2 linked regions of the Kluyveromyces lactis genome follow. The protein of the gene in region 1 interacts with the protein of each later gene in a pairwise test. Links are inferred from orthologs where the notes say so. Each region holds a gene or a part of one and is shown on either strand. Other genes may lie near its edges.

Region 1 (5,919 bases):
TCCAAATACGGATTAACTGACGATATTTTCGAGAATTGTTTGTCACCCATTCATGCCAATATTTTGTCCAAAAATTCTGATTCTTTGGTAATTGATTTGTTGGTCTCAGTTAATGCTTCTATCAAAAATATTGCATCGTTATTTTACTACACCAATGAGACGGGATATTATGAAGAAATTAAGTTTGATTACTCAAAAACCTCGTTGTTCCAAATTCAGGGTTATTTCTTCAATTTCCTTTGCATTTTAAAATTCATATTAGACTTTGAAGCCACTCCAAATTTCAAGGTGTTGAGTATATTTGCGGAGTTACGGAAACTGGTAGAGCAGTTAATGATTCCGAAACTTGTCCATAATTACCCTCTGGAGTTTTCAAAATTCACTGACTTAAAGACGGCATATGATGGACCTTCTCCACAGGCTCCAGCTGTCCATACGTTCAGTCTTGAACATTTGGAAAAGAGCATCGAATCAGTTTTAGTACAATCATTCAATGACTATAACTATTTGAAAATGCCAGTTGGTCCTGTCAATTCGTTGAATGAATTCGAATTTGATTCAGGCTACGCTGAACCAGCTCCAGGACCCAGCAAGTCATCAATAAACTTACTAAGGCACCACGATCTATGTAAACAGAATGGTGCTAGAACAAGACAGGGATTTTATGACCGTTATCATCTATCAGACAAATTGTTACAGGTTGCCAAATGCTCTTTCCTCTTGATATATGAATCACATGTACATGGTTCATTATTGACAAATTTCATTGACATAATTAACACTCTTCAGTCAAAATTAGACAATCAACGCAAAATTACGAATATTATTTTCAATGAAGGAACCCATCTCTTTGGAAGCAACAATAATCCTGTCAACGATCACACTCATTCTTTTGTTAACATGCTGAATTTGCCAAACTCAAACACTCCTCCTGGAGATTACTACTTCAATCCGAATTCCCTATGACTACCGTAATATTTAATTAAACAGCTTTTTGATGTATGAGATCTCACGAAATGACCAAAAAAAATTCCTATAGTATACTATTTATAAATAATTGAACAGTATTTGTTAATCCCGAGAATATAATGTAACTCTTATTTATTCTACTTTCTATCAGTCGGGTCAATTATTGTACTCTTACTGTGATACACTTTTATTACGCCTCTTCATTAATTACGGTCTGAACCAGCCATTCCTTATTTTTGATCCTAAAATCATTTATACCCTCCATCAGGAACCTTTTAGAAATGCTATTTTCCCAGTCGGATGAGTTCTGCAAAGACGTCTCGTTGATGAAAAGTATCATCTTCTTACTGTGGTAATTATGCCGAAATTCTACAAGTTGGTCGAACAGATCATCGTCCAACTCTTGCTGTGGTTTCAACTTCAAGTTTTTCGTGTATTCCCAATGACCAACTTTAAACACCTGGAAAATGAAGTCCACGAAAAAATTCATATCGGAGTCTCCTAAAATCAATATCGAGTAATCTTCCAAAACTACTCTGGCATTGTTTAGTTGTGCATCTAAAGTCAAACTGCTATTGAAGTTTGTCAGGAAACTAAAAACATTGCTTGATTTGATAATACCTAGATTGAAGTCAGCCATCAACCTGTTACTTTCTCCGCTCGGCAAAAGATTTTGTAGTATCGTTTGAGTCGAGATATAACCTTTGTTTATGCATGACTCAATAAACCTCCAATGTAGTACAGGCCATCCCAAAGCCAATGCTTCTAAATACTTCGGACTTCTTGAAAAGTTTCCCGCAATAAGACAACCAAAACGGTAACTGTTAAAACGTGGATTGTTCCAACTAAACTCTCTTGATCTGTCTTCATATCTTAACAGACTTTCAAACCCTACGCTGGAGACATATCCTCCTTGTATCTCGATTAGATAAGATAACCTTTTTCTATCCATATCATTAAGTCCACTCAATACAAAGATGCACTTTTCGAAAACAGAACCTCCCTGTCCTTCTAATCCACTCATTATAGTAGTATCATAGAAAGTGTCTCTGAAAATCTCTGAAGTTGACTTGTTATAATCTTGAGCGGTTTTCTTCATAGGAGAAATAGAATCCCTCACTGATCGACTTCTAACAGAACGTCTCAATTCATCCAAAGGATCATTGTCTTCATCTTCCAGTTTTATTTTGGTTCGTTTGATCCACTCCCCGGTGGTAACGTATATGGATGCAATGGTATCTACAATATCATTCTTGCTGAGTCTTCCGTTTCTCAGTACCTTTCTTAAATGCACCGTATCATATCCTCTAATGCATCGAATGACATCTTCTTTTTGTGGGATCTGGCAATCTAAAGCTACGACTTGATATTCATTCATCTTCCAGTGGACTTTATCTCCACATCTAATATCTAAATAGTAAATGTCTTCCACCCTAACATCATTTTGACGTTTCTCGAAAAGAACGGAGCAATACCCAGGCTTCGTACGCTGTTCGGAAAGTATCTTACCAGGATAAAAATTGCAATCATTAAAATAATACCAGACCGCATTATTGAATAAAACATCTTTTTTAGTCAACTGCATTTCATCTGATATACGAAGTTCTTTCGGCAGGTAGACACCTTCAGTGAAAGCTGTAAATTGTGTCATTTTACTTGGTGTACTACTATCTTCAAATTCTTCTTCTAATATTAGCTGCTTGTTTTTCCGTTTCTTGGATACATTAAGTTGTTCTTGTGACTCAAATGACGGTTTGTGCTTGCACTCATTGCGTTCGAAAATTTCAGGTAGTTCCTGAGTTTGTTCATATTCCTGATCTGTATCCAGTCTCGAGAGCTCTCTTGAGACATCATTCGTAGGATTATGTTCATTGTGTTTACGTTGGTTCAAATCGGTAGCATCATTCCGGACACCCCCAATTTGTTCATCCTCGTCGGATATCTGACTGGATGGTTTGACATAATATGTGAGTTTAAACTTCATTTCACTCGAGTTTTCATCTGTTTGTTCCTTCTGAGAAGATTCATTGTTCATCTCAATAGACGAGTGACATTTGGCTACTTCCTGATCTTCTTTTTCTTCTTCTCTTTCTTCTTCACTAAATACTGTTGAAGGTGATTTATTGGAGGCCTGCTGCATGGGTCGGAGATTAACGACCGCTGGAGAATGAACCAACTGGATTTCTTCGTTGAAATTAGAACCTGTTTCCTTTTGTGTCAATATAGTTCTGGTAGAAGGAAGAAGACTGTGATGAAATGAGCCAAAATTGATTGGAGATGTATGCACTATTGATGTCTCTTGAAGTGCAGACTGTTCATCTAGTTTCAATAAGCTCTCTGAGACATCGAGGTTATTAGACTGAGTTCTAATTAGCTGAGTCATCTTTTCATCGGCCAATGTAGACCTGATTTCTTGTGTTTGACTTACATTAGCTGAATTCGTTGCAGGTACTAACATTTCATTAGATGTTTGAGTTACATTTTGAGTGTCAATATCACCCAAGATATTACCATTATCTGCATCCTTCAGTGTCATTATAAATGGTTGTGGATGCCCCTCTGGGGACGAGTTGATATTTTCAATCAAGCTGATCGGTTCTGAAGCTGCCTTCACTTCACCTTTAGCATTCCTAAGTGAGCGAATCGATATCTTATTCTTTAATGGCGTGTCTAATAATTCAGGTTGATATGTGTCATTGTTATTCAAAAGAATACCTTTAGTTTGAGTCAAATCAAACGGTAATTCCACTTCGATATTCAAGTCTTTCTCCTGAAATCGTTGCAATACATCAGTCTTTGATTGGATATCAATTCTTCGTCTAATCTCGAGATCTCGATTTCCCTCAGGTGTGTCTTCTAACAGGGATTTATTCGTTGGATTTAAATTGAGAGCAGTATTACCCAAAGCCTTTATAGCCTTGTTAATTCCCGTGAGCGTTCGGGTGCTTGTATTTTCTTTTAACACTATTTCATCTGAGGAAGTAGACTCTATCTTGTTCGATAGCTGTTTTCGATCTGGACTGTAATTGGGAGTCTCTTTGGTAATACCACTGTCTTCTTCGTCTCCTGTCATACCATATGAAACAGCAGATACTGATATTGATGGTTCAGAATGAAGTGATATTTTGGCTCCGTATTTTTATCGAATGTTTAATAACTTTTGTTAGTTGTGCGTTACATACTGTAAACTTTCTTGTTTTGGTTTATGATTTTCTGTCAATATTACATTTGTAGTTGTTAAAGACTAAGACATTAAAGAGTCAACTGTGCGATGTGTGAGTTTTATTATTATGTATCCATAGCCGGTCGCATCTCTTCAGGGTATTAGTATATGAGTTGCTAGTATAGCACTGGTTGCAGGTTTGCTATTCTAGGAATTGATTTTCGGTTCTTCTAAGGAAAAGTATGATATTTTCTATCGATGGGTGTCAGACACACATGAAGTGAACCTTTTAGAATGCATTTTTTGGTTGTTGGCACAAACGATATATACCAACACAAGAGGTGTAGCTTTTATGATCCTCGCCTTAAGCAAGCATAATTTTGCTTCTCGTGATTAGCACCCTTTAGTCGGCAACAATAACTGTGATATCATGACCGACAAAAATTCGAAATGTAATGGTAAGTGACATTATTAAATGAAAGCTAACAATGATAACGATTGAATGGTAAATACTAACTCTAATGTCATCTACTATTAGGTTCATATGTTGATGTTCTACTTTGTTTTGAGTCGTTATTGGAAAAATGTCTCAAGACGCTTGAAGCCAAGCAACTAATCAAAGATTCAACGGAAGTATGGGACGACTTTGTGGATATCATACTCTCGTTCATTCCCTTAAATCTTGTGAAAGAACGATTCCAAAATGGTAATATTAGCAAACAGCGTATCATTTCTATAATGCAGGGTATTCTTGATCACAATCCCGATATTGATTTTACAGTGGATGCAAATTATATGTCGGATAATCTATGTGCTAGATATGCAGATGATCATTTTGTTCTTAGATGGAAGACAAACATTATCATCAACTTCAGAATTATTCAAGCATTCTTCGAGCTTCTAGATGAAGAATATGGGACCGCTTTTTTCTCTTTCCGCTGGATTCTACAGTTCATTTCAGTCTCTAAAAATAAGCGTCACAGTGAGAAGCGATCAGACCTTTCCTCGTCTCGGATAACATGGATAATTCGACAAACTTCACTTTATCTGGCAAAATGTTTGAATTTAGATTTTAATCAAGGGAAAAGGGTAAAATACGTGTCCTTCAATTCGGTTAGGGTGAATCGTTTGGACATGTTCAAAGGCATATTATACACAATATTGGAAAATTCAAGCAGTGTAATATCTGCACAACAGGACATCCAGAATAAGCATATGACTGCGGAGTATTTCAAGATATGTGCAGAAATCTATGAATTTATTGCGCTACTCGATGGGAAAGTATTAGACTATGAGCACGCACATGATGTTAAGACTACTGTGATAATACCGCAAACAGTTTTTTCCACTTATATGATCCGTCATTACATGCTAGCTGCAGTTCATTTCCCATTCGATGACCCTAAAAGGCTTGTATGTTTCCACAAAATATTGATGGGTTTATTTTTTGTGAATAAAGTTGACTTAGCTACTTTCAACTACTTCTATGGTGAGTTCTACCAGTGTGCAAAATCCATAAATGAACAGCACTTTGTCACTGATTATGCTAATTTTTCGCTTTCTGGTACCTTTGTGAATATAATTGAGTCAGTTGCACAGAATCATCAACATCTCAAGCTTTTACCAAGTGTCCTAATCCGGTTGTCTACCAATGAAGTAATAGTCGACTCTGAATTCGATCCCGTCTTATCAAACCGACATACTTATTCGAAAGAAGCAGAGAAGTTGAAACGAAAAGTTCGTGGGTCTGATTATGAACGTGATAATGTTGAAATGGGCGAAAATGG
Region 2 (5,245 bases), about 1.1 Mb from region 1:
ATATAATAACGGAGGAGTTACTCAGTTTCATATTTGATATAAAGCAACAATTATCAGCTGATGACAAAGAAAGATTGAAAGGAATCTTTCCTGCTATTGTGGACTACTTCGTTGGAAGCAATCCAAAAATTCTCACTGATATTATGAAATATGTAGTTAATATCATGAAGTCTGCGAAGGAAAAACAATATGGAACTTCACTAATAGTGCTCTTTTTAAATCATCCTGATTTCAAGATACAAGGTAATAAGACTCTGTTGAAAAAGCTTAATGTGTTCAAAGCCAATGCAAAAAGAAACTCGACTCGACAATACAAATTCATCCCTCCAAAGGAAAATAAAAAGGTATCAGATCGTGAGACGCTGCAACATAATGAACAGCAAGATAATACAAATATTTTTCCTTTATCTACATTATCTGTTATCGAAACTAAGGTAACTTCCTCCGAAGAGCTTGAAGTTCCGCTGCAAACACTTTCGGAAACTTCAGATGAGCTAATTCGAACGGGGTGCCAAAAAGTCGTTGAGCCTATACAAAATTCTAATGACAATGAACCAGTAAAAATGGCTGCTAGTGTACAATCCGAAAAGCTTGAAGCAGAAACAACGCAGAATGCAGTGTCACAAGTTTCATCAGGGGAAATGGAAAAACAAACGCCTTCTATTAAAGATAGCAGCACTGAAGTCAGCGAATGTCTGCCAGGTGTTGCAAATAATGATGAGATATCTAAGAACCTTGATACAGTGACAAGCGTTAACTCCCCATCTGGGCTGCCTCTGAAGATACCAATTTTTAATCCTTTCTTTACTGATGTTATCAAACTCGAAGAGGATCTTGCTTCGAAAGGCGATACCTATATATCAGGGAAGCGGTCTTTAGAACTGATGAACTCAGCTGGTGATGTTGCAAGTGCAAATTGTGAAGGACAGCATCATACAAAAAAAATTATGCGAATTGTTTCAAGTTTAAATGATGTCGATATTGATGATGTGAAGTCTTTAAGCAACAACGATAAGAAGCTTTTGAGAAAGGTAATGTATAATTTTATGTTAAACTTAGAAGATTAAGGACATGTTGCAGTCAGATTTTTCCTATCCATAACAAAAATATTTCTCGGAATGATCAATTTACGTAAACAATATCTCTACAGAATACAGTTATTCTTTTGAAAAAGCGTCTCCATTCTAACGGGTCACCCCGTTTCCTTTCAAAAGTAACGGATTTCAGATCACCTTCCAACTGCATGATGACTAGAGATCCTGAAAGTGGGAGCTTATTTCTATCATATGTTTTGAGCTGTATAGACACAGGATAGGGGTTACTCTCTCCGATCTGCCGTTTCAGTTCCAAGAAATTATCGTGAAGATTTCTACTCACTCTAACACCATATGCAACCAAAGCATTCTCTAGGTCTGAGAGGATTACACTAATATCATCAGTAGAGAAAAATTTAGTTAGCCTGTCAGATGAAAAGTTAGGCATTAGCTTCATATCATTAATATTAAACTGCAAGGAAGCGAGATCTTCTTGGATTCTCTTGGTTGAAAATGGCTCCTGCGTCATTAATTCCCTTTCACTTGAAAAATTCGTGCTGCATGTAACCTTTTGAGTGGCAGAGTAGCCGTTTCGCAAATTAGCCGGTAAACTATCTATATGTGCAAGCTCACGATTGAGAGGTTGGGTGAACGACATCTTTGCATGTTGATTGGCAAACACTTCCTGCGTAGAAGATAAATAATCGGCATCTGATAGAGAAACTTTAAGCTTTGATAGTAATTTTTCTGCAAGCAAAGAAGGATTTTTACAAAGGCCATTTTCATCTGCAAATTTCGGATTTGTTTGATACCATGTATGTTTCCGTAAAGTATCCAAAGAAGCTCTTTTCTCTGGATCTGGTTGTAATATTTTTCTCAAGAGATTCAATTCAACGAAATCTATCTTCAGCCAAGATCCCTGATCTAGCTTTCCTTCGCCTTTAATAAAGTTTCTAAACGTTTCATCGTCCTCGTGAGGAAGTTCCCAAGGCGTTTCTCCAGTCAACAAAACGAATAATAGAACACCAATGGACCAAATATCTGTCATATCAGCATAGTACCCATCACAGTATATTATTTCCGGTGCCATGTAGGGAAGACTTCCTCGTTGATCTCTAGAAATACGTTTTGATCCATCTTTTCTCTTGAACAGCGATGCTAGCCCAAAATCTGCAAGTTTTAAATTCCCATCTTTATCCAATAGGATATTTTCCGGCTTGATATCCCTATGGGCAACACCACAGGTATCATGCAGATAACTTATAGCTTTTATAAGTTGTTTATAATAGAATTGGGCGACTTCCGAGTCGACTCCAATGTCAGGTTCGATTTTATCGAAAAGATCACCACCTTCAGCCAGTTCCATGGCTATCCAAAGAAACGGATCAGAAAGATTGCAATCTATAACCTTTAGCACATTAACAAAATTAGAGCATCTAGAATGTAACTTAACTTCCCTCAACACATCTTCCTGACTCATACCTTGTTTCTCACATGAAGGAAGATGTATGAATTTGACAGCAATTACAGTGGACGGATCAACTTCTAAACTAGCTCTCTTCACAAAGGCAAAGGAGCCCTTCCCAATTGTTCTTCCTAGTTGTAATCCATCAATATGAGGGAGCTGAGCTATCTGTGAAAAGCTCATCAATACATCAATCGAAGTGTTCTTCTTTTACTTCTTTTTTGTTCTTGTCGGTTCGTATCTCAGAAATCTCCAGCTATATCAGCCAAACGCACATTCAATATTTACGCAACTGATGTGCTCAAAATATCATCCAACCGTCCTAACTGAACCCCAAGTGATTTACCTAGGATAACACGTCGGAGACTCGTATATAAATCCCGTTTTCCCCATAAGTATCATCATAAAACTATTGTTTTTCTTTTCTGATCAGATCTGCGATAGTCATTAGTTTCTGTCATTTCTTTGCATTTATAAAAACGTACATTGAAAGGGGTTTTACTACGTTTATAGTTTAATCAGTGAACAATAAACAAATCCGATACTGTTGATAGAAGCAACGAAGCAGTGGTGAGCTTTTTAGGAGTGGTAAGTGTAAGATTAGGCAAATATGAATACGATGGATACACTGGATACGCATTTTGTTTCCTCTGTGGAAAATGCGGTACAAGAATCATTGCGAGAGAACAAGGCGTTATTGGTTTATACTACGGGCGGAGATAATTCGTGGTTTGAGTCGTGGTTTACACCACTTGTAGGGGAGCAGTTGAAGGATTCGTGCGTTTGGTTACGTTTAGCTGCTGGAAGCAGGGAAATGGGTTACTTTGAGCAAATATTCCCGGATGTGAAGGTTCCTAGCGTTTATTGTATTGCTAAGGGACAAATAGTGGAGATGATAAATCCAGATCAGTTGGACATGGACGGATTTGCTACTAGGTTGATCCGGGCAGTTGGTAAAAGCAAGAGGAGAATCTCTGAAACGGATGCCGTTGATGCATCCAATACCGTTGGTGCCGCTGGTGATACCGGCGCCAGGTCCGGTAGCTGTCTGTCACAAAATGCGAAATTGATGGAGTACCAAATAAAGGCCAAGAAGCACCAGTTGACAGAACAACAGGAAAGAGAACGTATTGTTAGATTGATGAAAGCGGACCGTGAAGAAATGAAGCAACGAAGATTATCGTCATCATCTCCAAATCATACTAAGGAACACATCAATGAAGTATTGGCTGTACCCATTCACGATAATATTAAAAACAGAGATATAATAAACGCAGCAGTGTGCACCTTGCTTATAAGATTAACAGACGGTAAGACATTGAAAAACGATTTCGATTCGTCTCAAACTTTAAACGATGTAAGGACTTGGGTGGATGCCAATAGGACAGATAAGGATGGTCCGTACCAGTTCCATCGAAGTATTCCACGTGAAACTTTCACAGAATCACAAGAATTACTATCTTTGAAAGCTCTGGAGCTTACTCCAAGATCTGCATTAATCTTGAAGCCTTTGGAAAAGCATACATATTCTCGTAAGATTGCAGATGTAGAAGGACCAGGTTTGCTTGGGAAAATGTATCAGAACGTGACGTCCTGGTGGTACGGTAAATCAACGGTTGTTGATCAAAATATTCCTGAACCTGCTGAAGCATTAACATCTCAAGCTTCATCTAGATATGTTTCTCCCTTATCTTCCCCTCGTCTGGTACACTCTGATGCATCGATACCCTCAAGAGCTGTCTCTCCATCTTCTATACATTACGGCCATGTCTCAGACGACAACAGCAGATAGCACACCTGATTTATGAATCGCCTTTATGTTAAATATCATATGTATGCATGAACGAATTAAATATACATATTAATACCAAATATGAGCAATCACTCTTATCGGAAGAATTAGGCCAACAGTTTCTCGGTCATCTCTTCCTTTTTCGGTTCCTTCACTTCCGTCTTCTCTGCACGAGGAGAGTCCCTGCTCGATACCCTCAAGGATCCAAGTTTCTTTATCAAATCTTCTGTTGAGCCAGATTCCAAAGGTGCTGCAGATTTTTGTTCTTCGATCTTCTTTTTCTCCTTCTCTTTTGTATCCTCTGTTGATAGCTCCTTCTCTAACAGTGACAATTCTTCTTCAAGAGCATCATTGTCGGAAACCGACTCTCCTACTAACAAATTATGAATACGGTCTTGCTTCTCTGTATTTTCTTGGAAATCATCTAATATGTTTGAAATAGAATCTTCATCTAAAAGTTGTGAATTGATAGCCTTCAAAGCGGTACTGCCTTGTTTTAAAAGATTAATCATAACCACATTTTGTGAAGCATTGGATATTTCATCTTGGAGTTTCCTAAGAGATTCTAAACTCGTGTAAGCTTGTTCCAAGTTCTTTTCTGAGCGTTTTTTCAACCTAAGAAGTGTTCTCTTAATCTCTTGAGAAAGACCCGATGAAATAGCGCTTGTCAGCCGTTTGGTAGTAAGATCTAGCACCTTTTGTGCCGATTTTATCTCCGTTTCCGCAGTGAATACATATTCATTAATATTGGCAACACAAATATCTTCTTCAGATACTTCTTTGGACGCTACCTGGGGGCTCGCACTCAACAACGGAGAGATAATCTTAACTATATTTTCTGAACCGACAATAATTTGATTCTTATCACATAAGTAATCAAGTATTATTCCGTAGGAGTCCCAATCTTTCACGATGCTATCAATTCCGGACGCCTTATAAAAATGACCCTTAGTG

Evidence for each region.
Region 2: the proteins of RAD9 (region 1) and CHK1 interact in a two-hybrid assay, tested with the Saccharomyces cerevisiae proteins (3 studies listed by BioGRID). The link is inferred for Kluyveromyces lactis from reciprocal best matches to the Saccharomyces cerevisiae genes RAD9 and CHK1.

What each region holds. Positions count from the first base shown.
Region 1 is NC_006042.1:1,204,527-1,210,445, forward strand, and holds RAD9 (chromatin-binding protein RAD9), read right to left. Parts: upstream 4,043-5,919; coding exon 1,160-4,042; downstream 1-1,159. Other genes in the region: DNA-binding transcription factor ADR1, read left to right, coding at 1-966; ADY4 (Ady4p), read left to right, coding at 4,871-5,919. UniProt on the Saccharomyces cerevisiae protein: Essential for cell cycle arrest at the G2 stage following DNA damage by X-irradiation or inactivation of DNA ligase.
Region 2 is NC_006042.1:118,879-124,123, forward strand, and holds CHK1 (serine/threonine protein kinase CHK1), read right to left. Parts: upstream 2,683-5,245; coding exon 1,123-2,682; downstream 1-1,122. Other genes in the region: DNA-binding protein RIF1, read left to right, coding at 1-1,067; KLLA0_F01298g (UBX domain-containing protein), read left to right, coding at 3,110-4,291; phosphatidic acid-binding protein CHM7, read right to left, coding at 4,399-5,245. UniProt on the Saccharomyces cerevisiae protein: Serine/threonine-protein kinase which is required for checkpoint-mediated cell cycle arrest and activation of DNA repair in response to the presence of DNA damage or unreplicated DNA.